Oreochromis niloticus: one gene and its partners. Each later gene encodes a partner of the first gene's protein in a complex. Links are inferred from orthologs where the notes say so. Each region holds a gene or a part of one and is shown on either strand. Other genes may lie near its edges.

Region 1 (7,084 bases):
GAATTACAGGAGGGATCTGTGGGAAACAAAGTGCCGCCAGCACAGACCCAGCAGGCAGATCAGGACCTCGTGGTCATGGATTACCTTCGCTGACTGAAATAGAAACCTCCAGCTGTTAGACTCAGACTGCAGAGAGATGTGTCCAAACTGGCTTTAGCCTACAGCACTTATAAACATGATCTGAACTGATCACAATGACTAAAGCTTGCAGAAAGCTCGACTCAAGCTGGACTTCTGTTTTTATTTGTTTGGAGGTTCTTCCTCATTGGGTCAGATCAGGAAATCTGATGTAATGTAATCTGAAATCAAAAATCAAATTGCTGTAAAGTGTGTTAAGTGTGTGTAAGCTCAAAGTGTGTACGTGGCCCATTATTCATTTAAAGTTAGAGGGTGCCGTCACTGAGTTCAGCATTACAAAACTGAGTGCAGTGTGGACAGTGGATGCAGCTGTGCAGGTTGTTGTAGATTCACTAATGCTGCTTTCTGGCTTACTATTATTACAATTACTATTATTACTATGATTACTATTATTAAAATTCTACAAGAGTCACTTTGCATGACACAGAGCTCAGAATAATCCTTATTTATATTACACTATCTTATTCTCTCTTAGTTCATTACCTGTCCATCTCCTTTTAAACCATCAAATTCATTTTAAAACATGGGGCACATTCAGCCCACTTTGATCTTGAGTGGGCCAGACCAGCGAAACTCCACTTTCTGTCAGTGTAAAACAAAGTTGAATTACAAATTGAATCCCTGAGATATGAGAAGACCACGTGCTATTTCAACAACTTGTCAGTTTTTCTACATGATAAAGAAACGCTGCTGTGTTAAATGAAAGAAATCTGTCAGAATTTAATTGCAGTAAATTGTAAGAAATAAATGTGTAGAATTACAGAGAAAGCTCTGGTAGCTCAGACTGTCCTATAATTATAAGAAACGTCTTAAAAATCTATTGCTTAATTACTCTTGGTGTAGTATGAATGGCAGAGGAGGAGGTCTTTATCAGCAGGAAAAGCTGTAAAACGTATGAAAATACAGTTAAAAGACTAAATCTATGTCTTTTGTTATATTTTCCAAAGATGTGCTGAATTTGAATGTTTCCTGACTAGATTTTGGCCCCTGGGCCTCATGTTTGACATCCTTATTTTAAAGCAACTTTCTTCTGATTGGTTGCTCCTCAGGTATACCTGAGATGACCATATTAAGGACACCCGTCTTTATCTGATGTCATACAGATCCAAGAACGAAACAGTCTGAAGTGTCGGCTTTTGCTCACAGGAATTACTCACACGTACACTGACCTCATTATGTGAGGCTTTGTGTTTAATGTGAGCATACACCACTGCAACTGCATATAATCACAGGAAAGAAGGAAAAGCAGGATAGGTTCCCTTTAAATGAACATCACACAACTCAGATGACACTTGATTTTCTGTGTAGCTAAATAAAATAAAACCTCTCTCAGACAGAAATTGGTGATCTTGAACACAGTGATGAATGAATGTTGAAGAAATGTGAGATTCTTCTGAGGCTTGAATGTAAAACATCCAAACTCAGAGCTAACTGAGACATTTCAAACCTCTAAATGTCAGAAAAGCTCACTTAGGCACATCACAGAGTTCCTTCTGACCTTACACTGATGTGATGTGCCACACCAGTAAGTGACCCTCTGACCCATTGACCTCCACATCTGGAAATATCTGTGAACAACAATCTGTACTGATGCAGATGTTTTTACCTTCTCCATGGCTGAGTTCATGTCCATGTAGTCCAGCGTCAGTCGGTGAGCTGTCTCCTCGGCTCCTCGACTCCGTCTGCCGCCGCTCTTCCAGAACAATGAGACTTTAAATTCCTCTCCTGTTGACCGCACTTCCTCGCTCTCCGCCCACAGTCGGTTCTGCTGCCACTCTGCTCCGCCGGCTCTCCACAGCTCACTGCAATTTAACCGTCCACACCTTCATCAGCCCTCCTTTCTTTGTCCTCTGCTTTTATATTTCTCTCTTCTCTACACTCAGCAAAATTAAAACTCACCTTTGTCCTCTTCAGCTGTAAACTCCTGCTTTTACTTTTCCATTCAGCATAGTCCCCCACTCTTCCCTCCTGATCTGCGTGGTTGCCAGCTCTGCTTCTCCACCCTCTGCAACATGAACTGAGCAGGTTTCTTCACCTCCTGATTTTGCTCCAACACGTGAGGGGGGGAAACTTGGTTGTTTTTTATTGTTTTTTCCTGTAAAATTTCTAATCTTCCAGTTCTACAGTCTGCTGAGTGGGGAATTCACACTGCTGTGTTAAATTTTGCAGGTACTTGCAGTGTTGACTGTTCAAACCACAGCTGCATTGTCCCTAATCACAGCTGCTCTCTGCTGCAGAACAGCACACTGTTGGGACTAACTGGATCAGTGAGGCCTGACTGAACTGTTTGTGTTTTTAATCTCAGACAAAGACTGAGAGAGCACAGAGGGAGTCCCTGCTCACACTCCTCCAGCCAATCAGAGTCACCCTGTAAAACTTCTCAGCCAGTAGGAATGGCTGAAATTCCTCCTCCTCCTCCTTTTCTGCAATTTCAGTGTGGCTCAGAAAAGCTTAGACCAAGGCATGAGCAACACACCTCAGGTTTGCAGGTCCAGACGAGGCCTAGTGGTGATTAACACGGCATGGCCGTGTTTTTTTATGGCTTTGATTTCTTCAGGATTGGTGTTAGCGGGCCTGCTCAGGTCCCGTGAGTGCAGAACAACAGAAATGTTCTGGCGATCCCTCTGACTGCTGATGATCGTTTTCTCTCTCATCTCGTGCTTTTATTTTGTAGCTATCTCTGGTCTATCAGAAATAGCTACAAAATAAAGGTCTGTCTCTGCAGCTACACCTTCTTGTCTCTTTCTATGGCTTAAAGCACACAGCTTTGAACGAGCAAACTAACATTCAAATCAAGCTGATATGTTGGCCTGATCTGAGCTCTTCAGTCTGCACATGTTAGTAACTCACCCTTTTTGACACTAAACTCATTCACTTGTTTAAATTTAAAAACCCAATGCCATTGCAGAAAGGTCATTATCACACCTGTTTTGGTACTAAGGGGATATATTTAGATCCTTTGAGGCACTTTTATGTCTGTAATTGATTATGATGATGTGATTTATTTGCATGCATTGTCAGAATCCTTACTGATGCTAGATTCTGTCTATCATGGAGCACTGATTCAATATAAAGGCTTGTACTCTTCACTGTATGCTATATGCTCAGGTTGAATGGTCTTCTTTGTCGTGTTATAGCCTTAGCCACTGGAATGTTGTTATTTATAAGGCTACTCCACATTTGCTGCCTTCTTACTTACTGGCTTGCATTCATCAAAAAAGTGTGGGACGTTATTGTCTATAGGGCCCAAGATGAATTCCTTCTCTCTGTCCCAAAGGTTTGCACTCAATTTATCAAATGAGCATTCAGCTTTGCAGCTCCTTGCTCCTGGGATGAGCTGCAGAATCAACTAAAGTTTCAGGAACTGGCCTCACTAAATGAATTTAATTAATTAAATGCAGTCACTTCAGGCTACAAATGTTTTCCCTGAATATTTTTACCTTTATTTCTGGCATTATAGAATTACTTTTACTAAAGCATGTGTGTTTTTTATTATTTAAGTTTCTAAATTGTGGTTGTTTCTGTGTTTCATTCTTGTCTCACAATCTTCGCATCTATACATACAAATTATTATTATTTTATCTTATTGATCCCTTATGTGTTGACTTAATTGATGACATTAATATTTTTGCAGTGCAAAAACATCCACAGGAAGGCAAAAGCCACTTTATTTTTAGTGTAGTGAGGATACGAGGAAGGAAATAAAGCGGATTTGAACGCAGCCAAAAATTTCCCGGGAAACTATACGACGTAATAAACCCTGCCCCTCCATCGCGGTCAGACAAAAGGTGCGTTCGTTTTACTCTGCGGCTCGACCCTAGTTGTTTTTATTAAGGTCATCACACAACAGGACAAGCGGTCGTTCTGCTCCTTGTCATAAAGCGAACGCACTGTGCTTTTCATCCCCTCCTCTTTCAGGCAAATACACCAATGAGAAAGCAAAACCTTATCCGTCTCTCTTGAATATTCATGCTTTTTCGCGGGCTTTGAGTGTCACATGGTCTTTTCGCGCGAAAAGCGACTCACGGCAGGAAGAAGAATAAGTAGCTTTTGAAGCAGCAGCGAGACAGAAACGCAGCGATGGCGGTGAGTAAACTCATTAAAAACAGGCGCAGTGCTCTGATGGGAGGGCTCAGCTTGTAGGCAGAGGCGCATTATTCTATACGAAGCAGTTTTTACCAGTCAGCTTTAGTTTTTCTGGGAAAATAAACTTTGTTCATTCGTCGAAGTCACAACAACGACAGAGAGCGTCATCAAGAGTTGATGTAGAGCTTCATTTTCCCACATATCGGAATTAAAAATATACTTTATGATCTTTTAAACTGCGCGTGTTTTGCTAAGAACCGTTTTTCACCTTCGTAGACTGGACCCAAAACCCGTTGTTGTTTTTTTGTTCCTTCGCTGTGAAAAGCAGACCTACCATGTGGTCAGTTAGCTTGTTTTTGCATCTCTAAACCGTCTCAAGTAACAACCGAGGAATAATGAAACTTTTTAAAAAAAATCTTTACACCCCCTTGCATGAGTCCTTACATCTGGAATAATTGATTATAGTTTACTTACAAGGCATGATGGGCTTTAAATTATTGGTTTCAATAAAGTAAAGACATGAAAAGATCATTAAAATACACTGTCCCGTGGTAACAACTGTCCTGTAATACTTAAACTATCAAATTACATTTTGCTTCTAATGTTGGCTCGCCACATTCTTAAATGTAATAAACATGTCTTACAGTCTTACTTTTAAAGATCTATGATCTTTGAGAAGTCACACAGTCCTATGTGAGTTTTTCTTCCCTTAGATAAAACTAACTACTACAAGTTACCAGTTAAAAAATATAATTAAAGTCCATTTGCAAATTGATGTACATCCAAACTAATTGAAGACAATAATCCTTTGACAGCAGTGGCACAATGTTCTGCCCTCATCACCATCCCTACCTACTGTCTTTCTTGCTGCTGCTGTCCACTGAAGACAAAATGCAAAAAAACTGAATCTGCTAAAAAAATAAATAAAAACACAGACTAAAATTAAATGCTGTATGTGAGCAGTGGAAGCTGTAGACAATGTCAGGTTACTGTTGGCAGTAAACATAAGAATAATTTATTTGTTCTGAATTCGTGTTGTCAACAGGATTCCTCAGAGTCATACCACATGGCCACCAGCCCCAGCCGAGCCTCCAGGAGGGGAGACCTGACCTCCAGCCCCGGACGAGACTTGCCACCCTTCGAGGATGAGTCGGAGGGGCTGTTGGGAGATGGACCCTTGCCTGGGGAGGAGGAAGAAGATGGAGAGGAGCTGATTGGAGATGGGATGGAGAGGTGAGCGTGGATTTAAAATGGCCTTAAAGCTATGAACTCTGTGGGGTTGTTTTTTTTTGTTGTTTTTTTTTTAGGGCTTAATAACAACTCTGTCTCTGTTCAGGGATTACCGTGCCATCCCGGAGCTGGATCAGTACGAGGCAGAGGGTTTGGACCTCGATGATGAGGAGCTGTCAGAGCTGTCGCCTGGAGCCCGAGCGGCCGCTGAGGAGGCCATGAGGAGAAGGGACAGGCAACAGGGAGTCAGGGGGCGCGTGAGGCCAGGATTGCTCTATGGTGAGGCTTGAGTGTGTGGATATTTTTCAGGGTGGTGACGTGTAGGCTGTGATTAATTCTTTTATTTTGTTGGCATCCAGACAGCGAAGATGAGGATGACGAGCGCCCGGCTGCTCGGCGAAGACGGCTGGCTGAGCGGGCAGCAGAAGGTGATGGCGAGGAAGAGGAGATGATTGAGAGTATTGAGAATCTGGAGGACATGAAGGTTTGTGGTGACATTGGAGATAAGCTAGCTCACAGAAGCTTTTCAGGTCCGGCTGTTTGGGACGTCTTTGTAACGTTTTCACACACTGTGCAGGGCCACACAGTGAGGGAGTGGGTATCCATGGCGGCGCCGCGGCTGGAAATCTACAACCGCTTCAAGAACTTCCTGCGCACACACGTGGATGAAAATGGCCGCAACGTCTTCAAGGAGAAGATCAGCGATATGTGTAAAGGTAATGCAGTTTTCAGTAAACTTTAATGTGCGGAAAAATATAATTGTTGGCTGATTTCTGGCAATGATTGAATGAATCAATCTGAACCTGTAATCCAGAGAACAAGGAGAGCCTGGTAGTAAACTATGAGGACCTCGCAGCCAGGGAGCACGTCCTGGCTTACTTCCTACCAGAAGCTCCAGCTGAGATGCTGAAGGTCAGTCAACTTGTCATCTTGCTTAATGTCCTTTTCTGTGCCTTTTTTTTTTTCTTCATGCATTTATATTTAACTTTAGCGGATATTAAATGCTGTGAAAGTTAAATGTGAGTGTCCTTCAATTATTTTCTGATCTCCGGTGCGTGTCTGATTGTTCTTTGCCAGATTTTTGATGAAGCAGCTAAAGAAGTTGTGCTTGCCATGTACCCAAAATACGATCGCATCGCCTATGAGATCCATGTCCGCATCTGCAACCTGCCTCTGGTCGAGGAGATCCGATCACTCAGGTAACACTTCAGTTTTTACCCAACAGGTATTTTCAACTTGAAGGAATAATTCACAGTAGTAATGAAACTAAGGCGAGACCTCCACATTTGTCTTGGCGAGGCACATCTGTGGCTCTTCCAAAAAGGGCCGTCTATATATGAAGGAGCTACTTGGGTGAAGCTTTCTGCTCTTTACCAACTGTTTTCTTCTTCTGTTGTCCTCTTCAGGCAGCTGCACCTGAATCAGCTCATCCGGACCAGCGGCGTGGTGAGCAGCTGCACCGGTGTCCTGCCTCAGCTCGGCATGGTCAAGTACAACTGTAACAAGTGTAACTTCGTGCTAGGGCCCTTCTTCCAGTCCCAGAACCAGGAGGTGAAGCCGGGTTCCTGTCCGGAGTGTCAATCCCAGGGACCGTTTGAGATCAACATGGAGGAGGTGAGGGGAGGGCCGG
Region 2 (7,930 bases), on another chromosome or scaffold:
TGTTCCAACATGCAGAAGAAGCAACTGCTATTGCAACTAGAGATTTGAAAGAGCAGCTGACCTGAGAGGTCTGATTACGAAGACTATGTGAAGTAGAGCTGGGCGATATGACCCAAAATTCATTTCTCGATATTCTTTAGCTGGATGACGAAATATATATCTCGATATTTTTTTAAAGCCATAAAGTAAGAACAAAAAGAGAGTTCTAAGTGAAAGCTGTGTCCCAGATCTCACACAGACACTTTTTTAACATACAGCATAGATGTACATGAAAAAATTACTACTTCAATAATAATATTACTCCAGAAATAAAATAAAACTGTTGTTTTTGTGCATAACAAAGAGCTCACAACTGTGCAGTCAAAATGTAAACTAACAGACGCTGAGCATAATAACATAGACAGATTTCACAGCTGCTCTGTTCCCAACTTCTACTGCGTGACTGACAGCCTGGAGTTTGAAATCCTCTTTGTAACCATGTCTCTGAACAGGAGCCATTTATGGTCCTTATACACACACAATACGGTAATATTACGTTGAAGCACAGTACGTATCACTCCGCGAGGCTCCTGACTACGGTAGCTGTAATCCTCCGACAATCCATCAAGCGGTGCAGCGCCGTAGCTTAGCAAAGTCGCACTAAAACATTTTTTGACAGATTGCTGAGCGCTGTGTATCACATAAAATCGGTTCGCAGTCAGTAAGCACAACCAGAATTCATACATAAGGCATACCGTCGATTTTTGAGAAAAAGAAAGGACTTTAGGCCGTGCAGCCCCCGTGCGATGTGAATGCAACATTACAGACAATCACCACTGTGGTCATCAATGAAACCAACCAACTGATCTACCCCACAACAGCAGTGATCAGTGAGATGTTTGGGAACAAGATGAGCACCCACAAGGAGCAGTACCCTCCATGGAGAAGGAAACTAGAGGCCAAGATCAAGGCAGCATAGAGGGAAGTATTGGAGCTGCAGAAAGGTGTGATGAAGAAAGGGATGTCTAAGAAGTACAGCAAGCTGGTCACACCTGAGGCCTTGGAAACTGCCAAGCAAAGACTCACAGCCTTGGCTAGCAGCTTGAAGAGGTACACCTGAGACATCGAAGCCATGAAAATCAAATCATCTGAGATGTGAGGTGCTGGAGATGGAGCAATATCGGAAGAGTATACAGCAGAAGCACACAACCCATGACAGCAATGCTCAGTGTTTAGTGGATCTACGGGCGAACCACAGCAGCCTCCCTGAACGGGATCCAGTAAGCATCACAGCGGCAGACATCCATGAAAGAGTCTCAAGCATGAAGCGTTGGGCAGCATCTGGCCCTGACATCATCCACGCCTACTGGCTAAAGAAGCTCATATATACAAAATCCCTACTAATGACAGTAGGGACCTGCAATTTTCATTGTTATTATAAATAATAATTATTAAGAAGCGTATCTTTGTTTTAGACTGAGACTCAGAATCATCAAACTGATCCAGGTTTGCATGGAAACTGTCACACTGATCATCTCTGCTATTCTGTGATATCATTTTTAATTTGGTTACAGAAAAAAAAATCTGGCTGAATAAAAAACAAGATTTTAGATTTAAACATCTGAAGTGGGTCTAAAATCGAAAAGTCGTGAAATTTTGAGGGCTCAACAAGTGCTGAAAAAAATATTTATTTGGAGAGCTGTAACTGGTGTCACTAGCGTCTCCATAGCAACATATAAATGCACAGTGACTATTGTGCGCCTGTCCATCTTCCACATGTATGCAATGAGCCTACCTGTGGACTGTGTGGCAGGGGACTGAACTGTGCCCTGCAGTGCTGGCTGAGCCCCTGAGCTTCTTCCTGAGCCTTGAGCTGCTCTGCCCATGAAAGGGAGACCGGAGAGGTCAGGAGGAGACGAGTCTTTAGGCTCCAGTCTGCTGGATACTGGGTGCACACAGGAGCTGCTACGGCAGTGGGAGCAGTGGCTTGGGGGCTCTAGAAGGACAGAGGGGAATCCTTTGAATACACGGTTATACACTGCACAACAGAAAACCTGGGAAAAAGTGACAATTCTCACAGATATGTCATTCAGCATTTAAAAAACACACAGAATAAATTCCCACCTTCAGCAGTGGGTTTTTAATATCCTCCGGTTCTTCTTCCAACAACACATCACTCTCAGACAGAGATCCAGATTTCTACAGCAGGACACAGACAAGAAAGGTAAGGCGTTTAAGAGGGGGTCCTATAGTTTCTCCCCTCATGTTTACATCTCTACCACATAAAAACAGGAGCTTCCTGACGACAGTGCAAAGGACCGAGACCAACCTGGCTGGAAGCTTGTCGGTATTCCTGTTCTTGTGCCTCATCGAGCCTGAAGCTGAGAGCCAGATCTAGCGTGCCTTCTCTCTTCGATGATTCTTCATCTCTCTCATTGTTTGCGATCCCGGAGCTATCGGAGTTTTCGGTGTTACAGCTGGCGTCGTTAAAAGTTAGACGTTTCTTCTTAGGACTGTAAGTGTTTTCTATTTTTGCGAACGGGTTCCTGCGTTTTATTCCAACCCCGAAATGGTTCTGGGCGCCGGAGAGCGGTTCGGGGGAGAAAGTCCGTACGCACGTCGGAGATGAGCCGCTTTGTTCGGGGCTGTCTGTGGACCCGGCCCCGGCTTCGCTTCGGGCTCTTTTGCGCCTCATTCGCAAAATTTCCGCAGGCCGCTTGAAGCTGGGTGAGTATCCAAAGTGTTCCGACATCCTGTGGAGATGCAGTTTGCCCCAAACAATCCACTTTTAGCGCTGTTTCCTTTAGAAAGGGCAGGACCCGCGGCTGTTTTTGTTTTGCGCTTTCTGCGCTGTACAAATTTGGCGCGTAGCGTGCTGACGTAAAGAGTCCCCGCGTGTTAATGGCTGTGAAGAGGTCGGAGCTAAACGGACGTCATTTGTTCACGTTTGTTTTTGTGACACGTTAAAAATAAATACATAATAATCTACAGAGTTAAGTGCAATTATTGTGTCTGTTGGAGCCTTTACTCATCGGGAACTTTGGACATTATGGTACGTCAGGATGTGACGTCGTATCGGGTTTTACTGCATTTGAATTGTATAATTTAAATTAACAATTTAATAATAATCAGAGACATATACAGAAGGAGATGTTGGAACAGTTTGGAAACTTGAGGGTTTGTAGAAAGAACTTTTCAGAAAAACACTAGTCAAAGTCTTGACTTCCGGCTTTGACTTCTTCTCTTCCTATGTCAGCGCTTATGTGGCGATATTGTCTTAGTGGCGACGCCTATCATCCAGGAGAATACTGCAGCGGCTATATATCATGACAGTGACGAGTACCGGCGGGACTTAGAGGGGACAAATTTAACGTCGCCAGCTTCGCATAGATCTACAAATGTAAGCTGCTTTCAAGTTCCAGTGTTAAACTGGGACATTTGGGCTTCCATTGTATACCTGCATTTTGTTTTCAGATGAAGTAGATTTTTTTTTTTTTTTAAAAACAAACAAACTTGAAAACGTGATTTATCATTGCAGACACTATACAGTAGCGTGTAAAGGTTAGTATATGGTTTAAATAATCTGTTGTTACATGCTGGACACTCTTCTGTGGGGAAAAGCCAGCCAGTGCTCAGCTGCAGATAGAGGGAACAACATGGTTGTATCATCCTCTCGAGTGAGTATAGTTCTCCTTTTCAAGATCAGCTGTATAAATTCGCTATAGGCTCCTCTTGTTCACGTGTATCTTTTATCAGTTTATTTATTCGTTTCTTTTTGTGTTGTTTCAGTTATTACATTATGTGTGGTATAGTATGACAACGTCTAAGGCAGGACAGTCAAGAGGAGAAATAAAAGGGAGAAGGAGGGAAGAAATAAGGGAAAATATAATAAAAGGATAGTGGCACGAGCCGAGAACAGGGTCCCAGGGCTCCAGGCGTCCAAGAATTGGCCAGCACCTGAGCCAGAGCCCCCTAACAAGGAAGAGGTCCAAGCCATCCCATACCAGCAAGGGAGCGGCTCAACAACCACACCAGAACATCCAGCCACGTGCTGTTGATCCCTCCCTTGGATGCTGCCCCTCCCTGCATCCCAGGTTGGGGCAGCATCATCCAGCGGAAAGCGGTAGGAAGAGGGAACCACTCCCTCCATGACCATGTCCCAAAGGGGCCAAGGCTCAGCAAGCCCCAGTTCCAGGTCCAGTCATGAGCTTACACTGGATTTTTGAGCTAGTATTTTGCACTGCTCTTACTGAAGTGCTTTTACTGCACCAATTGTTTATAAATTGCTCCACACTGCAGTTGTGACATCACAATAATTTGCCTCACTTAGTAAATCTGTCCCATGGCATATAAAATTAAATACATCTTATTTTCTTAGATTTTACTGTTGTGGTCCAGTTTAACCCGTTTCCTTCTTCCTGGTTAGAATTTCAAAATAGGCCAGGGGTCAAAAAGAGGAACACCAATGCCCTGTCCCTTCACGAGCTGCAGACTAATATAATCAGTGTTCTCACAATCGAGGTAAACAAGGCAAACAAGCTAGAAAACATGGTCCCAATATGATAGAAAAGCTTAAACATGACTAGTTTGTTTATGAAGAAATTAATGGCATTAACAAAAGAGAAAAACAAGCTCTTGAGAAAATATTCAAAAACAGCAAAGTGATATCAGTAACAGATTATCTGAAGCACAGTGCTACAAAAAATGATGGCGTCTGCATCTGTACGATGAGAATGAACAAGACAACAGGACGTGAGACAAAAAGTATCCTGATTCTGTCAGAAAGCTGCTACCGAGCTCAGACAGAAGGCAATGATTGATGTGACGCACACGCTGGGCAGACGAGCCATGTGCAATCATCATCCTCTGCTCTGTGAGAAACATCTGAAAGAGAGCAAACAACAGTTCCTTCCTGAAAGAGAAGAAGCTTCATTTTGGTGAGAAAGAGAGTGGTCAGAGCAGCGCTGTGGAAACAGCTTACATCCAAAGATTCTAGTACTCTGTCTATAATCACGTTTTGGTTGATTTAAGCAGAGCTTGAACTGAATATAAAGGAGGCAGAAATTTTTCCTGCTATTTTGAAAGACCACAAAATTGTGACACAGACACCAAATATCAGTAAGTGGCACAATAGAAGGGGTTAGGCTCAGACTAGCTCACTTCTGAAGAGCGAACAGCTCATATCAGATATAAAGGATCTTATAGGAAAGTCCTGGAATTTGGCCTCAACAAGTGATGAATGTGGAAAATACTGGGAATTTCTAAGGTTTTAAATGAGAAAGATAGCCATTGCATAAGCACATAAAAAGAGCTCAAAAATAGAAAAAATAATGATATTTCTGCTGTCAATTTACCAATTAAATGTATAGCTGCTCTCTTTAATGAAGCGATCTGTAAAAGAAGAACTGTCCCCGTCATTAAAGCAAGGACATCTCCCTTTAATTCCCCAAACCAACAAAGATCCTTTATGTTTTGATAACTGGAGACCAATTACACTCAACAATGATTATAAAATGACGATTTTCATATTAGCAAAGCGTTGAAACACTGATCCAAATAAAAGAATTCAGGAATCCCACTGTGGATTCATGAGTGGCATTCATATCTCAATAATATTCACCTGTTTTTGGAGCTAGTTAACTACAAATAATGGCTTGTTGGCAGTCACCTGATTTTATTCTTTATTCTCTACAGTTCTCCACAATTTTATCTTTAACCCTAAATTTTTTAAAATTTGATAACTTTTTTTTAATCAAAGCAATAAAGACCTTATCATCAGTGAAACTGCCATCACTCAGATTAAGAGGGGAATTTTATCATGGCCGTCCCATCTCTTCTTAGCGGTAAGCCAAAATCTAAACCTTTCAATAATCCACGATAAATTTAGTTGCATTATCTTTAAATGTACACAAGTCACTGTCACTGGGGTGACTGTAGCTCAGGAGGTAGAGTGGGTCACCTTAGTGGTTTGATCCCTGTTTGCATAAATAACCCCAAGCTGCTCTCTGAAGCATCCATTTGAGTACAAATGTGTGTGACTGTTAGATAAAAAGCATGTAAATATAAGAAAAAAGTGCTTGTATTAATGGTAAATGGACTGATATGGATAGTGCTTTTCCACTCTCTCAAACACAGTGACACAAATCAGGCTTAAACCTTAATTTAAATAATTTTGAAATTCTTGCTTTAAAAAACATTGCTAATACAGAAATATCCTAGTTAAAAATATTGTTAAATATTTGGGAGTTTTGATCCCAGTGGAGGACAAAAGCTTGATGGATGATAACATAGACCTGGTGATTTTATATGTTCGAATGAAATGTAGCTCCTAGCTGGCTAAAGACTTCCTCTTTATGTCAAAGTGGTGTTAAGCGAAGAAATAAGCTCCACAACATTTTTTCCCTTCATTTAATCAGATTATCAAAATTATTGGATCAAAATGTTTCTGAAAGATAATACGTGGATTTTTATCCTAAACTTCCTATTTAAAAAAGTAGGTGGTGTTAATGTTTTATGAATGTGCCCTGACCTTTCATAAACAGGTTGGTCCTTCCTACTACTGACTAACTACTGTCCTCGCAAATATTTTATATGGAACTGTCAATATCACATACAGAAACAAGTCAACAATATTTTACTGGTGAAACGTCTTTTTGATTGTGAAGGACTTCCATACTGAGGATTTTGTGCAGAAATACAGAGTTCTGGTCTCCAAACTCCAAATTCTCTACCTTCACTCCAGTTGCTGCGTCCGCACAGAGGGTGGCTTCACGAATTTCTTCAACATTGAGACCGGTGTGAGGCAAGGGTGTATCCTCTCTCCCTTCCTCATCCTTCTTGCCATTGACTTTGTTATGCGGAGTGCCATGGACCAAGATGCCTTTGGGATACCTTGGCATCCACCAGCACACCTGAAGGACCTCGACTTTGCAGACGACATTGCTTTGGTGGCTGACGTCCGGAAAAACATGACTACTATGACATCATGCTTGGCGCAAGAGGCACCCAAAGCAAGCTTATGGATCAGTGGAAACAAGACCAAGGTCATGAGGATAGGTTACGTGACAACACAGGACTCCATTACGGTAGGACTGCAACCACTGGAGGAGGTGAATCAATTCACCTACCTGGACAGCATCCTGGCAAGTAATGGAGATGCTGAGCATGATGTTGTGTGTCGAATTGTAAAAGCAGGTGCGGTCTTTCAGCGGCTCCGGCCGATCTGGTTGACCCCAAAGATCGTTCTGGCGACAAAGATTCGCCTGGTCAACTCCATCGTTATACCTACCGCAGTCTACACTTGTGAGACGTGGAAAACATCAGCCAGAATCACAAAAAGACTCCATGTGGCCCAGCAGCAATGGCTACGACGTATCCTGGGGGTCTCCTACTGGGACCATGTCACCAACGAAGAAGTACACCATCGAACTGCCACACGTCCCCTGCAGGACATTGTGACTGAGTGGCGTGTGCGCTTTGGAGGTCATGTTCTACGTCAACCCCCACATCGACTGCCCAAGATTGCCATCACATGGAACCCACCCCATGGAAGATGCAAACCAGGCCACCCCCGTACAACATGGCGGAGGACCTTCATCGATGACTTACGCACCATAGACATTGCATGGGATGAGGCCGAAGCAGCCACAGCCGATCGAATATGTTGGTGGACGCTTGCCGCCCAATGCGTTGAACGGCGCAGGAGGACCTAAGTCTAAGTAAGTAAAAGTAAAGGTCTCCAAAGAGGAGATCACATACTAAATATATTAATATATAAAAAAAGATCTATTTAAAAATATTTGTTAAAGCTTAAAAGAGTATGAATATGTAAGATTTCCATGGGAGTGCAGAGGATCCTCTTTCACAGCATATTTTATATCTAAAGAGACTTTTAATACAACATATTTTAAATGTCCAGTACATGAAAATAAGATGCCATTCCAGCAGTGTT
Region 3 (7,617 bases), on another chromosome or scaffold:
CTATATAGAACCACTTTATAGAATTATATTTGTTTGCAGATGTTGGCAGCTATCAGCGAATAGTTATCAGCCATTTTGAAACAAACAAAAAAAGACACTTTTTATCCATAACAAGAACTCCATAACAGCAAATACAGAAAATACAAATGCTATTTATGGTCTCCTCACAACAATGATAAGAAAAATAAACTGGGCCAATATGGCATGTTTGTTAATACAGAGACACACATGTTAATGTGATCTCTGGTCTCACACTCAGAGACACAGGTCTCAGAGTGTCCAGCATTCAGACGGCTACCCGAGGACACTCATGTGAGAGAAAATCTGCTCACACAGATATGTAGAGCCAAATACTGTCAATAAGGCCTCTGCAATGTTCTGAAGACAGTCAAACTTGTCAGGTAGTGATGTCCAGCAGGTGAAAATGCAAACTCCATGAACACGCACAGCTGTAGATTCCAGCTATTTCGATGTTATATGTATGATTTCTATACATTTTATGTTAGATAAAAAATTTGGTTGTAAGCTTCAGATAATTATTTAATAACACCCAGACATTTTAAACGAGAATAAGAAAATATTTCTTTGTGCCCCCCTTTACCTGTTAATGCCCTACCTGGCCCCTGGCAACACTTTGCTAGACCCGCCCCTGCACAGTTACCAGCTGTCAGCTACTTAGAAAAGGATCCTGGTGTTATTTGTCTCTCAGAAACAGTTCATAACTTCCCTTCAACTCATTCATGCCACCTAAAAGGTAAACCTGTTTCTCCATCACCTGTTCAGCTCTGATGATTCAGTAAGGACATCTCCTGGTTTCATCTGCATGTTTCCCTCTCACCAGATATACAAACCATCATGACCAGCAGCTTTACAGCTGTGGCTCCAGCAAACATCAGCTGATACTAGAAAGAAATATTAAATAAATTCTAACAACAGCTGATCAAGCTTAAACGTGCTGCTGTTGTTTAGCGCGACATCCGCTGGTTTCCTCTTTCTGGCGCAAAGTGGGCGATAAACAAACAAGAGAGAAAAGCCGATCAGCTGATCATTGATCGTTTCATGATTGAGCAGAGGGAGGGGGAGAATGAGAGAAGAAGAAACAGCTGACAGCGTAACGACAGAATAACTCCAGCTTTGTGTCTTTTTTTCATTCTAGCTGAAGTCCGGGACAAACTGTGTTCCTTTTCACCTCAATACGAAACGCGTAATATTTTCTCTGAATACGAGACGATTCCGTCTTTTTACAGGCAACTCTACTAACTAACCTTATGAATAAAATAAAGTTCACTATGGTATCACTAACATCAAAGCACCCACCAGCTGTATAGAAACTCCGTCATGCTAGCTAGCACGCAGTACGAGTTATTGTAACTGACTGTAAAAAGTCAGCACAATGAAAATAAACTCCACCTAAACTTGGTTTATATCTGACCCAGATAGACTGCAGGTCATAACTTCTTACCTGAAGTTCAGTTCACCTGAGACTTGGACCGGCGGCTGCCTCGGGTCGTTCCTCCTACTGCCTCCCCTTTCTCTCATCCACCTGCTGGCCTCCACCACTTGCTAATTTTACTGAATCTGAGGAAGCTTCGCCATAGCCACCACCAAACAACTGAGTTATTTGTACACACCGACCAGCATCTGGCCAATCCACCACCTTTCATTGTTTATACGGTTACAAAGGAAAAAAAAGTCACCCCGGCCACCGAGCAAAAGCCCGATGGCCAGTCCAGCATTGGTCGTGCCATCAGTTAACCCTTCGCGTGCCAACTGTGGCACGCGTGCCTAGGGTTGCCGACCCCTGTCCTAAACCATCACAATAACGTCAGATCATATTTATGAAATGATGTCTTAGTTTTACATCAGATGTAACTCAAACCTTCCAAAAAGTTAAACTTTGTCTAGTGAGTCCACAGAATATTTTCCCAAAAGGCTTGGGGATCATCACAATGTTTTTTGCAAATGTGACATGAGCCTTTGTGGTCTTTTTAATCAGTACTGGTTTTCACCTTTGAACTCTCCAGTGGATGTCATTTTTGCCCAGTCTCTTTCTTATTATTGAATCATGAACACTTAGTTTAACAGAGACAAGTGAGGTTCGTTAGATGTTGTTTTGGGTTACTTTTGACCTCCTGGATGAGTCTTTGATGGGAAGGTTCACTACTGTTTCACGTTTTTTCCATTTGTGGATAATGGCTCTCACAGTGGTCTGCTGGCCTTTCCAGACTGGTAGATGTGAGACTTGGTTTCTCAACTGTTTCGTTTAGCCTGCTTGACTTTGTAAGACAGGTTCTATTTAAGGTTTTTCTTGATTCAACCGATCTGGCAGTAAGCAAAATATTGGATTTAGTTTACAGGGTAACTTATATGTGGGATATGAATTACCTAACGAGTCTGTTTTGCACCTGAATTATTGTGAAAATTTAGTATCACTGGGGGATGTTCAAAACATCTCTGTAATCATGTAGATACCACAAACGCATGACCAAATCCCGCGACTGGATGCTACTGGAGTGAAGTCTGTGATGGCACAGTGCGAGATTATTCACGGCAACTACAGTTAGCTGCGTTAGCTAGCTCGCAAGCCTAGCTTACTCTCTGCGTGTGTGTTTGTTGTCACAGCTAACAACAACGAGCGTTCACCTGAAATTTCTCTGTGGCCAGCGGGTCGTCGGGAGCCCGGTCTGGATGGACTTTCAGCGACACTTTGTAGTAGCTCCTCCGGATCTCAGCCTCTGTCGCCTCTTTGTTGATTCCCAGAACCTCATACAAGTTTGAGGTCTTAAAAAGCTCCTGGCAACGCTCGAGCAGACCCATCCTGACAGCTGACCAGGTGCCTCAGTCTGAGCTTTGACAGGAAAACAATTTCCTCCTAAGAGTCTCCGCGACGTGTACTGGGGAGTTTTGTGGCTAGCTAAGCTTTAATTTGTTTTCTGTTGTCGGTAACATCAATTTGGCGCGCTAGCCTGTCACAGAGACCAGTGCGTGCATCGACGCGCTTGCGTAACGTACACAAACGTCTTCTGATTGGATCTCGTGACCGACATTGTCAGAATGTGAAATGAGGCCTTTCATGACGCACTTTTACACAAGAGATAACACAAGATTTATCCTTTTGGGGAAAGATAGTTTTGAACAAACTTTTTTCTTATTTCCCAAACTTCTTTCAGATGGTATTTATAGTGTGTCAACATCTTCAATGTGTTGCCAGTACGTTATAAATGTTAATTGATACATGTTTGGTGTTAAAACAATACAACTAGAGTACCCTTAATCTTGCAGTCCCCAACTCAGTGGCATGAATACATGGATAGGACCAGTTGGAACTCAAATACTTTACTCAAGTTTAATGTATTTTATTTGTTACTTTTAACTATTATTGCACTCTGTACTCCACACATTAAAGCTTTCATTATTTATTATTTTGCAGATTAAATGCTTATAAGCCTTCTTCTTTCAGCTGTGGTAACCCTCATTTCCTAGAACCCTTGTCTGTCACACCAACCCTTTCCATGTTCTCCTTCACTACATCCATAAATCTCTGTTGTCTTCTTCTTTTCTTTCTGCATGGCAGATGTATATTCAAGAACCTTTACCTAATAATATAATAATATAAGTGATTAAAATCATTAACAACTGCAATGTTTAAGAGATATACACATCCATAAATTACTAACTATGATTCAGTAATATCATGTTTATGATTATGCAAAGTGTCAAATACTTTAAACTTTAAAGGTACAGTAAGTATTTTTTTTAGTTTATTTATTACATAGAAAGCAATGTTGTTCTCATAGTTACTGTGTAACTACCTCTTTAATCAAACTGATTCTGTAAACATGCTCAGTGTATTTATGTGTGCATTTTACTAGTAATACCACAAACCAGCAAGGCTTTGTGTTTTCTCTTGAATAAACCCTCATTGTCTTACCACAGCTGCTTAGCATTTCTCCATTTCCCACCAATCAAAGCTAAATCAGCATCAGTCTCTTGTATTCCTTTGCAAGTGCTGCATCTGTTGTAAAAACTTGAAATGTCCTTTGTGTTTTATGTGGAGACCACCCTAGATGTAGGAACCCTTATAAGTTGCTTTTAATTTAAAGATCACAAATTGTTCTTTCTTAGCTATAGATGAGTATTTAATAAATGAAACTTTTGTATTGCCATCATCTCTTCCTCACTATGTCTTTCTCCTTCTCCAACACGTCTTTCATTTTTCTCTCTTCTTTCTCATTTCCACGTCATTTTCTTCCTCCCTACCTTAAGCCTCATCTCCTATGAAGTCAGGGCTCCAACACATGCAAATGTGCATAAACATGCTTATTTATTCCCCAAATTGTCACAATTACTTATTTTTAGTGGATTAGACATGCAACCCATCTGGACAACTGAAAACGCCAACTACGCAACAACAGCTGGTTATAAACTAACGCTATGTCAGCTAATGTTAGGTTTGAGTGTCCTAAAAATCACATTTTTCCTCTGATTAAAGGTTTGATTTCACTCTCACATTATGTGAAAGTTTGTTTGTTAGGCATTGGAAGACAGCAGTGTTTGATCCACTTCAAAGAAATATTCACTAACACCAGCTAATAGCAGCTAACAAGAGCTAACAGCAGCTAACAGCAGCTCAGTGGCAAAAATACAGCAGTGCTTACCTACAGAAAAGTTGATACTCTTAACAACTCACCTCAGTATTGCTGTAATTGGACAAAAGTGAGCTTCACTGACTCATGGACTCGTATCGGACTCCTTTCACAGGGGTTTCACAAGGTTTACAGCCTCCTCCAGATTAAATAGACATGGACACCCGGCATATTGACAACTCAGGTAAGCAGTGGACTGACAGCCTACATTCACTGTAGATGCAGAGTTGTTTGTCCTACACCAGCTACTGTAGCTTAGATTATGTACTTGAATTGGGAGGGATAAGAAAACAGAATTTCCTTGGCTGTAATCTGCAATCTACTAATATCTATTTGTGAGATTTTACACATTGTACCTTTAAAAATATTGCACTTTTACAATACGTAAGCAGGATTATAACTTTTACTGTAGTAAAAAGTCTAAATACTTTTTTCCCCACTTTGTAAATCAAGTATACAACACAAGACTGTTTCAATTCTTGTGCCGCACCACTTTTCACTAAAACGGCCACTTGAGGCTCTGTAAAAGCTTTTCAATACTCATAGACTCCAAGTTTACACCATTAAATAGCATGTTAACAACCATTTACAGAAATGGTTTTGGGATTTATACCCTTTATATAAACTCCAGGGAGGGTGAAATGCATCTGCCATTTGACTGACAGGTGTCCAGACCCAGGCAGCTGTAGCCAGTTAAGCTTTGGCAGGTCTCAACTCCACTAATCAAAAACATTAGATTAGTGTGAAATACAAATGGTCCAAGAGGTTTGTCTTTCAGTTTTAGTAAGTGAATTCTAGTGCTCTATTTAGCAGGTATAGTTGTCTCTACCTTGAACCTGTATAGCTTATGGGTGGAGCTTGATTACCAAGGATGCTAGCTAATAATTTAAATCCACCCTGTCATCCAAATATGGTAAACAGCATGATCAAATGCCAAGACTGAGGCTAACAGTGATGCTGCAGACAAATTATTGTTTAATGATGTTAAAGCTGTTCTGTCTGAAGTGATAACACCATATATAAATTACCCCTTTTAACATTGTTTTTTCTATATTATTTTCTCCTGAAAAATTTCTATCAGCAGATTAAAGTCTACGTAAAATGCATTTTTCATATTTCAACCTTAGTTTGAATCTATTCACCAAATTAAATCACAAATCTCCCCTTAATTAAATGCCACAGATTAGTGTGGCCTTGAGCAACTCAAAAGACTTAATTTCTCATGATAAAAGCTGAAGCGTTAAATTTAGAATTTCACAAACTAGTGCTAATACATGCATCAGTCAGGCAGAACCATACGGATACCCAAGTATTTATTAATGAGTTTGAAGCAGCACAAGAATACATCAAAGACAATGAGGCAAGTCACTAAGTATTTTCACTGCTTCATGCGAAAGCAGAACACAAAGATACACACTGACTTTGAACTTAGCATCTGTAGATTGCACCCATCTGTGTTTATAAGCCTGTACAATATGCAGCACTGGAGATATATACTACAACCCCCGCGTCTCAGATGTTATCTAATTATTGCCCCATCTGCTTCTGTTGCATATTTGGCACAGTCTCTGTTGTTGTTTTTGTCTTGACTTTTGTCGTCACAAACCTCATCCGTTCTTTGTATTCTGACACAAAATAAGCACTTGGACAACTGGCACATTATTATTATGATCAACAATGGAAAAAATGACAAAAGCACAGGAACTGTATTGTAAATGTTATGAACTTTTGCTGGTGTGCAGATCCTTCTCATATGCTTTCTATCCACTTGCACAGATCTTGTAAGTGGAGATCTTGAATGTAACCATTGCTCCTCCAGAGGGAATATTTCCTTGTTATGGTAACAGTCTCTCTACAACAGTCAAATGGCTTCGTTCTCTTGGACAGTCTTTATAGCATGCCCGTGGCTGATGCATTTGTCCCTTAACTGAGACAGTTTAAAAACCTCCTGTAGGGGGCAGCAGCTCAGCATTCCTTTCTAGTCTTCACCATCTTGCTGGTATACTTGATAGGGATCCCCCAGCGTCTCATTAGATAGACATCAAACACATAGGCCATTCCTGGCTCCAGGCCCCCAATCACAGCTGTAGTGACGGCCCGCCGAGGATTCAGCTCTTGGAAATACTTGCAGAGAACTCTCTCGGTGTCAGAGCGGGACTCTGGCCCCAGACAGGGTGCAGTTAGAGCTGATGCTCCGCCAGCTTCTGCTTCACGGCTTCCAAGCTTTCTGCGGTACACACAGTAAAGGCTTCTTTCCTCTGTTCCCATCCACGCTAGTGTGACACTATTGCAACCACGCAATCGGTTGAAGGATTTTATCTGTAAGGTGGAGGGCAGAGATGGGACTCCTCTGCGGTGGTAAGCTGATGAGGTCTGCATTTTGACTGAAGCTGTCAGACCTTCTGGTAGCGATGGGTCTGTAACAGCAGACGTGTGGTCCATGGCAGTTCCTTCTCTCTTCAGGTGGATGAGATAGGAAGTACTTCCCTGGAGCCATATGTGCACTAATTCTCGCCCAACAGCCTGAGAGGTCAAGACCTGACCTTTACTAGATACAGTCACCTTGACCTTTTCACCTTCCCCACAGCTCTGCAAGGTGAGGAGGCCACTCTGTTGCCAACCCCGAGGACGGAAACTGAAGAACTGCTCCGAGCTGAAGCCTCTGTCTTGGAAGGTCACCCACCTCAGCTCTCCTTCTCTAAGGGTGGTAATAGCAGGTCGAGCCTCCTCATGTGTCCGAGCAAGTGTCCCCTTGTATGCCATGCTGGTCCCATTCAGCCTGTCGACCACAAAGACATCAAAGTAATACTGGGTCTCAGGCAGGAGCTCTGAGACGGTGCAAACACTTTCTGTCCCCTGACACACACATTGGAGGTCTTCATACTCATCAGTGAGGGAAGCTGGTGGACTTTGAGGACTTTCAGGATAAGTGTCCCACTGCTGCCACCACCACTCTTTCAAAATGGGCCAG
Region 4 (7,754 bases), on another chromosome or scaffold:
GTGTCTGTGTTACCAGACTCCGATCTTCAGCCCGCTCTCAGGTTCCAGGTAGAAGTTGTGTGTGTGGTTCAATCCCTGGTCCAGAGGTCGCTTCAGGTCGATGAAATACGGCATCCTCACTGAGGGGAGGAGGTCAAAGGTCACATACTGATCACATGACTGCTCACTGACACCCAGGATGCCTCGCTATTCACAATGCTTCCTGTCATCATTACTGATCTTTACAGTAATTAATACACCTCAGTGACACACACACACACACACACACACACACACACACACACACAGAATAAATAAACGTTCTGTTGTGATTTATTAAAGTAACGCGGCCCCACAGGTGGGTGGCCCCTCCCTCTGCTGTGTGGTTTCCACCTGAGCCTCTGTGCTATTTTTAGCCCCCATCACGTCGAGGAAACCCTTTTTATAGTTGAGCTGCACATTCATGTCTTTCCTTTTAAGGAGAAATGTGGGCGTGGCATTTTGTCTTCTGCAGTGCACCTGTGCAGGTGACGTGGACAGACTGATGTCTGTCACGATCACAGGACCGACACTTTGTTTTCTAAACTTCACTGAGTCAGACGAACTGTTTGATGCCGTCTGATTGGACGACGGACGCTCTTTAACCGAGACTAGTCATTCACTCAGGTAAGAGTCACAGAGAAGCCCATGAGCAAGCTCTCGGCGACAGCGAGGAGGAAGAACTCCCTTTAACAGGAAGAGACCTCGACCAGAGCAGGACCAGGGAGGGGCAGGCGGCCGGGGTTTGAAGTGATTCATCGAGTTTTCTTTTACTGCGTGTTAACGAAAAGGTTTTTATAAATAAAGGAGCGTCCGCTCACACAGGCCGATTCGGGACACGCCGACTCACCGAAGTTGAGGAAGACGAGTTTGGCCTGGATGGACGGACACAGCTTGATGATGAAGGGAATGGAGACGTAGACGAGCAGCAGCCACAACACCACCCTCTTCAGTTTCCCCACCAGACCCAACCTGAGCACACACATTCAAAATAACTTTATTTAAACCCCGCCTACTCACAAGGGCACACAATAACAGCACAACATCATGAATGACCCACACGTGACACGTTCAGCGTGACACGTGTGACAGGCGTGCAGATCGTCTGACACGTGAAATCTTTACATTCAGTTTGTGACGGGAACCTGATTCTGTTTGGTTTGAACTTTCTGTACATTTATTTTTATTATGACTTTTACTCCAACAATGATTAAAATGTCCTGTTATTAAAGGGTAACTGAAGCCTCAGCTGACATTAAATACACATTTCACTGTATTATTATATCACAGGTCATTTTAAGAACACAGTAACTAATAGAAAGTTTCCGTGGACTTTATTTCAGCGTCCACCACTCGACCCGATCACACAGGATTGACTTTTATTACATTTTTATTCATTAATCTGCATCTGACAACCATCGAGCTGCCAAAGACACGAAACATGAATAAACCCAGGAAACTGCAAGAAACACAACTCTGAAAATAACGCACACAACATGTGTGAGCGATGCAGCCTCACGTTCACCGTTTAAATAAAGTTTATTCAAGTTTGGTAGCAGCTGCTTTCTCTCAGGACAACATGTGAAGGTGATATCTGAGCCCTGTGTGTGTGTGTGTGTGTGTGTGTGTGTGTGTGTGTGTGTGTGTGTGTGTGTGTGTGTGTGTGTGTGTGTGTGTGTAAGCTGATCAGCTGTATTGGTATTGTCGCTGTAACAGGACGCTGCAGCTGCAGACTGAATTATTCATTGATGAGTGAGAGTCTGCAGACCTTCACCTGTCCTCAGAGCAGCATGTTTACATGCACACACACAGCATCTTGTCTGATCGTGGCTGTAATGATGAACATAAGCAGGAAATCAATGTTTTTATCTACAAACAGCTTCTAAAGCCCCGCCTCTTTAACGTGGACCTCCTCCTAACTTCCTGTCAGGTGTCTCCACAGCTGGATGCCCGTGTTTGTGGCGGGCTAGACTCCCACTGTTACACCTGCAGTACTGCTGACTCGTGATAAGAAAACGCAGCTCCGTATTTCACGGCGACTCTCTGAAAAGTGTGTCAGAGGTCAAAGGGCACCCGTGTTTGAGGTCGAGACGCTGACTCGGCGTCACGGAGCAGAACTTCTCCTTTCACAAGCTGATTCTGCAGGAAGTGATGACACATGGACTCAAACCCGTGACCCACAGCTTTAACACGCATCAGCAGCAGCAGCGAGGCCACTTCCTGTCGGCGTCTGAGCTCAGACGGTGGATGTGTCAACGTCCCAGGATGCACTGGGCCTGACCTGTGCTTCAGGTGACCTCCTGCTGGAGCTGCAGAGACTCTAATGAGGATTAAACCAAAGAAGAAGAGTGGACCTGACAGGCTGAGCTGGGGTTAAACGAGGTCTGACATTCTTCATTCTTCGTGAATTAAAGATCAGAAAAGAGTCACTTTGTCTTTTTGGAGTATTTTCTTTAAATTCTTTCATTTCTTCATTAAAGGACGGCTGTGAAGGCGGAGCCTGAGAGCCTTCTTCACCCCCAGCTGTGATGTTTAACCCTGCTGGAGGCGGTCCTATGAAGCTCTCTGAGCCGTGAGCTGTGACCGAACACTCAACTCAAACACTCAACAATAAAGTCAGGATGAAGGCCGACCTGAAAGTGTCAGCTTCATCCTGATAGAGAAACATCAGAATCACAGCAGCTTCATGTTTGTTTGTCTCTCAGTGAAGCTGCTGTTATCAGCTCATTTCTGCTGTAACTGCTGACTTCCTGTGCCCGTAACCAGAGATGACTCAGTTAAACTAAACGTGATGATGTTGCGACAGCTTGAGTCTGTCAGCTGTTGCAGGTAAATAGCTTTGGCATCTCGATGTAAAGTTTCCTGCTGCAGTAAACAAAGAGCAGTTTTGTGTTCAGAGCTTTGAATGAGGCGCTGCTTTATGGACCCGCCGTGTTCAGTCCGACCTGCAGCTTCCGGTCTGACCAGCTCGCCGGCCTCGGTGAAACCAGTCGGACCAGAAACGCCACCCCACAGTCAGATCTTGCACAAGGGTCAAAATCCCAGCACGTTGAGGAAATACCTGAGTTTGTACAAGCCCGCTCCGATCTCTCAGACGGGACACTTTTGGTCTCCTCTGTGATGTTTTTTAATAAGCTGTTTATTCAACTCTGTTTTTAAGCATTTTTTATAAAATGTTCTTATTCGAGTTGTAATTTTTAGCTTTCCATTTTACTGTTGTTTCTTCTTATTTCTGTTTTACGTGTGAGCTGTTTATCATTATGGATTTATACCTTTATCACTGTTAAATGTCTCACTCTCTTGTACAGCACTAATTATTCTTAAATGAATAAACTTGAGTAGAAAAGCAGCAAAAACAATAAAGATTTTTTTCTATGAAATGGAATTCACTTCACATCACACTGATTTTCATCTAAATAACGCGATGCTTCAACATCACAAGCATCTGTCCCGCCTCTCACCTCCGGAACGGTTTGGCCATGCTCCGGTCCTCTCCCGGGCCCTGCCGGCTGCCTGCTGCGGGCCCCGCCGCTCCTCTGCCAGTGCGCTGCTTCAGGTCCGGGTCGCTGTCCAGCAGAGTGCCGGTGGTCCCGCTGTCATGCTCCGCTGTCTGCGAGTTGGTCCGCTTACGCATGCCTGGAAACGTGATTGAAAGCGGATGTTAACCGGAGGACACCCCCGTCGTCGGCGGGGAGGAGGCCGCTGCGGTGCGGGTGACGGAGCGCTGAGAGCCGGTGAGCACGGAGCCGAGTCCCCGCTGTGCCTGCGCCGAGATCCGCAGAGAGCAGCTGATCTGAAGCAGATCTGCCGCAGCCAATCGCAACGCAGGTAACACAACCACGTGGGCGCACAGTGACGCGTCCACGGCCCCCGGGGAGCGTCGGAGCAACGACAACCAAAACAAAACCGGTTTATGAGGATTAAAGAAAGACTAAAGACGAAGGGAGCGTACGGGGCCTTCAGGGACAGCTCGGAAAGTCAAGAAACGCCCAGAATGACGTGACCAAAGTGAAGCGTGAGAAGCTGTGATCTCTGTCTCTGTGTTGGAATATTTAAGCAGCTTCTATCTTGATTTATACATTGTATTTCATTCCAATACACACCACAGACCAAAAAAAATCCCAAACTAAAGCATTTATGAATCGACATCAGGACACTGAGTATCCATTAAGTCCCAGAAAGAGAAGCCACCACAAAGATCAAGTAATTTCCTGATAAACAGCTGCAGTGATGTGTATTTGATTGGAAGCGTGGATGAAACCAACGATCACCCCAGAAGTTTTGACTTATTTTTGAGGGATTTTGCTGCAGAGGGGTCGTTTTTCCGGTGGAACTTGAACGCAGTATTAACAGTGAAGCTAACCGAAGCTAACCCAAGAAGAAGCGGCGGAGAGTGCGTTAAAGGCGGCTTTATGAACTCACACAGAGCCAGTGAGTCCGGCTCGTCCTGGTCCCCGCTGTCAGAGGCTCCTGTCGGGCTGACGGCTTTATTTTTAGCCGCTGCGCTTACCGGAAGTCACGCTGCGGGATAGAACTGAGATTTGACGGTAGATGACGGCTTTCCCGCCCCCGGCGACACCAGCACTAACACGGCTCTCTCTCACCTCTAAGTCGGGCTCAAATGAATCCGCTTCACCGCATCTCCGACTCTTTCCAGAGCCTTTAGGAATCGCAGCTGCCCGCTTCGTGTCGCGGAGTCTGAGGTTTGACCCAACGCGGCTTCCGGAGCTGCGCCTGGAACGGTCACGTGATCAAAACATTGTTTTTACCGCGAACGCGAGCCGCCCGGTACAGTAGGAGCGCGTCGCGGTCCAACGGAGAGATTCCCGGTATTCTGCTCGGTTCTGTTCGGTGTGCTCGTTTTCGAGGTGCCACGATGTTCTGCGAAAAAGCCATCGAGCTGATCAGAGAGCTGCACCGCATGAGCGACGGACAGCTGCCCGCGTTTAACGTGAGTGATCCCGGCGAAAACCCAGAGCTTCACCCGGTTTTCAGAGGCAGCGGACTCCATTCACAAACCTGATATTTTAATATTTACCTGCTGCTCAGAGCAGAATAATCGGTCTGTGATGCATCGCAAACATCCTCAGTCAGTGCAGACACAGGACTAAACTTCGGCTCAGGTCTGATGATTCAAATACTGACCAACAGACCAATGAGGGGAATTTAAGAAAACGGACTCTGAAATTGGAAAAGTGTTGGACAGAATTATGCGCGTCTTAGAGATCTCATCTAAACATGTTTACACATAACGGGCACTGCATTACATGTCGGCTGTTTTAACGACACCGATGTGCAGCCAGCAGCACACAGTTAATATTATGTTGGACTCTTCGTGGTGAATCATTTCCTGCATATGCTGAATTATCAAAGTGCTGTCAAACTCGTGTGTGGATGACTAATAACAACTCAGCCTTAAACAGGGAGAAATTTGAATGGAGTCTGGATTCAACAAGAATCATCTGAAGGCGCCTGGAAGTGAGGGTTTGATGCAAACTAGTGCTTTGTGGAGGTCTGTGCCTCCACCGGGAGCTGCTCCATCAGGTCACTGAGCCTCACTCACTTCGGGTTTGGTTTCTGTGTTTCAGGAGGATGGACTGCGACAGGTGCTGCAGGAGATGGAGGCACTTTACGAGCAGAACCAGAGTGACGTGTGAGTCCACGGCAGGCCAATCTGTCCGGGTTTCCTCAGAGTTCCCAGGGTCTGAGGGTTTGGATCCAGGTTTCTGTTAACCTGAGCTTCACCATGACCAGATTAAACCTCCCGTGCCCCCGCTCCTCCCTCTCATAGCAGGTTTTAAAAACCATGAAATCCATATCAAATGAACAGGAAGTCATGTGAAGCTTTGGGCCTCAGCTTCAGTTTAAATTCATGATACTGGGTCCAAAACCACCTACAGTTAATGTTACAATAAAAGTAATAAATAATACTAAATGCAATGAAAATTTTATCTCAGGAATTAAATAAAATTTTATTTATACAGCAACAAATCCCAACAACAGTCGCCTCAGGGTGCTTATGCTGTAAGGTAAAGACCCTACAGTAACACACCCTCCGGACCTCCTAAAAAGGAGGAACACCACCTGAGTGCTGGTTCAGGGTGTCATGAAGGCCCCGCCCACTCCAAACTGCTCAGCGGACCCCGTCCAGCATCCTCCCTGGCACCTGAGTGTTCGCACGCACAGACAGGTGCGACTGACGGCGTCACTGATCAGCTGATGTGCGTGTTTTTTCAGGAACGAGGCAAAGAGCGAAGGTCGCGCCGAGCTGATTCCCTCCATCAAACTGCGCCACTGCTGCCTGCTGAGGAACCAGCGCTGCGTCACCGCCTACCTGTAACCACACCTGCAGTCATGTGACCACCTCTCTCTGCCTCACCTTTCTCCTCGATGACCTTTGCTGATCTTTGTTGCAGGTACGACCGGCTGCTGAGGATCAGAGCGCTGCGCTGGGAGTACGGCAGCGTGCTGCCCGCCAATGTTCGCTTCCACATGTGTGCAGAGGAGGTGAGTGTGACATCACTTCCTGTGTGTCTCTCAGGTGTTAGCGCTCTCACTGATGCTCTTTTTATTGGCGGTTGTAAACTTTCACTTTAAAAGCCTGAGTAATTCGCTTCAGGGGAGGCTTTTATTGTGAAAGAGGCAGCAGAGCGTGCTGTAGCTCTTCAGTGTGTGTGTGTGTGTGTGTTGTGTGTGTTTTAGCTGCAGTGGTTCAGTCAGTATAAGAAGTCTCTGGCCTCCTTCATGCGCTCTCTGGGGGGCGATGAGGGTCTGGACATCACGCAGGACATGAAGCCTCCAAAGAGCCTCTACATTGAGGTGAGACATTTGACCTTTGACCTTCAGCTGCAGCATGACCTCGCAGCACTGACGCCGGCATCCGTCTTTGTTTTTCAGGTGAGGTGTCTGAAGGACCACGGCGAGTTTGAGATCGACGACGGCACGGTGATCCTGCTGAAGAAGAACAGCCAGGTGAGGACAGGAAGCCACTCTTCTTCTACTGTTTAATAACATGTGAAATGTTTGAAGTCATCATGGTAACGTCCCCTCTGTCCTCAGCACTTCCTGCCGCGGTGGAAATGCGAACTGCTGATTCGTCAGGGCGTCCTGGAGCATGTGGTGTCCTGACGATGCAGATGTTTCAGCAGCTGGAAAACACCTGCACTTACCTTTATTCTGGCCTCTTCTTCTGATGTGATAATAAATGTTTTTTTCAAGCTCCGCCTACTTTATTTAAAAGCTCTCGGCTGCCACTTCCTGTTCTTATCCACCTGAGCAGGAAGCAGGTTCAACAGAACCTGAACCCTGTCAGGGACTTCCTGTGTGTTTGTGTCATGTGACTTGTCATCACAGGATCAGCTGACAGATCCATAAAGAACATCCGGTCTTTAAGTCTGATGTCATCAGCTGTTTCTGGGTCCAAACTCCGCTTCAGGTCCCAAAGTCAAACGAACACTGCGGCATCACTGAGAGTTACAAACTGTCTAAATTCTTTCATCTTTAATAAAATGATCAGCGTTGCTGCTTTACCAGGTGTAACTATTAAGTTTAACATCCAGGCATCCATGAAAACAGGATTTATGAAATTTAACAGAGTTAGAAGTTAGCAGGAAGTTAGCTCACTAGCTTCCACCTAAACATGATATAGCATGTTCTGACTGAGATTTCTGAAACATTCAAACGTACAGCTCTGCTATCACTTCCAACATAAATGAAGACAGAAAACTAAACAGCAG

The links.
Region 2: mcm2 (region 1) and donson share a complex: the UniProt entries of both Homo sapiens proteins name them as parts of the replisome complex. The link is inferred for Oreochromis niloticus from reciprocal best matches to the Homo sapiens genes MCM2 and DONSON.
Region 3: the proteins of mcm2 (region 1) and dnajc9 are in contact, whole or in part, in a crystal structure (PDB 7CJ0), measured with the Homo sapiens proteins. The link is inferred for Oreochromis niloticus from reciprocal best matches to the Homo sapiens genes MCM2 and DNAJC9. Residues at the interface, in NP_004517.2 of Homo sapiens: Glu65, Glu66, Glu67, Asp68, Glu104; in NP_056005.1 of Homo sapiens: Lys185, Arg189, Arg192, Lys244.
Region 4: mcm2 (region 1) and gins1 share a complex: the UniProt entries of both Homo sapiens proteins name them as parts of the CMG helicase complex. The link is inferred for Oreochromis niloticus from reciprocal best matches to the Homo sapiens genes MCM2 and GINS1.

The regions. Positions count from the first base shown.
Region 1 is NC_031970.2:13,027,622-13,034,705, forward strand, and holds the start of mcm2 (DNA replication licensing factor MCM2), read left to right. Parts: upstream 1-4,070; 5' UTR 4,071-4,218; coding exon 4,219-4,224; intron 4,225-5,269; coding exon 5,270-5,457; intron 5,458-5,560; coding exon 5,561-5,733; intron 5,734-5,813; coding exon 5,814-5,938; intron 5,939-6,031; coding exon 6,032-6,170; intron 6,171-6,268; coding exon 6,269-6,366; intron 6,367-6,531; coding exon 6,532-6,653; intron 6,654-6,860; coding exon 6,861-7,068; intron 7,069-7,084. Other genes in the region: lmcd1 (LIM and cysteine-rich domains protein 1), read right to left, coding at 1,745-1,771. UniProt on the Homo sapiens protein: Acts as a component of the MCM2-7 complex (MCM complex) which is the replicative helicase essential for 'once per cell cycle' DNA replication initiation and elongation in eukaryotic cells.
Region 2 is NC_031986.2:3,398,498-3,406,427, forward strand, and holds the start of donson (protein downstream neighbor of son homolog), read right to left. Parts: upstream 3,005-7,930; 5' UTR 2,732-3,004; coding exon 2,309-2,731; intron 2,179-2,308; coding exon 2,104-2,178; intron 1,976-2,103; coding exon 1,775-1,975; intron 1-1,774. UniProt on the Homo sapiens protein: Replisome component that maintains genome stability by protecting stalled or damaged replication forks.
Region 3 is NC_031978.2:12,735,950-12,743,566, reverse strand, and holds the start of dnajc9 (dnaJ homolog subfamily C member 9), read right to left. Parts: upstream 3,008-7,617; 5' UTR 2,818-3,007; coding exon 2,644-2,817; intron 1-2,643. Other genes in the region: ndnfl (protein NDNF), read right to left, coding at 6,612-7,617.
Region 4 is NC_031978.2:2,105,981-2,113,734, forward strand, and holds gins1 (DNA replication complex GINS protein PSF1), read left to right. Parts: upstream 1-4,836; 5' UTR 4,837-4,894; coding exon 4,895-4,969; intron 4,970-5,003; exon of another isoform or gene 5,004-5,496; intron 5,497-5,606; coding exon 5,607-5,671; intron 5,672-6,255; coding exon 6,256-6,354; intron 6,355-6,434; coding exon 6,435-6,525; intron 6,526-6,720; coding exon 6,721-6,837; intron 6,838-6,915; coding exon 6,916-6,990; intron 6,991-7,077; coding exon 7,078-7,146; 3' UTR 7,147-7,235; downstream 7,236-7,754. Other genes in the region: lysophosphatidylserine lipase ABHD12, read right to left, coding at 14-119, 869-990, 3,480-3,652. UniProt on the Homo sapiens protein: Required for correct functioning of the GINS complex, a complex that plays an essential role in the initiation of DNA replication, and progression of DNA replication forks.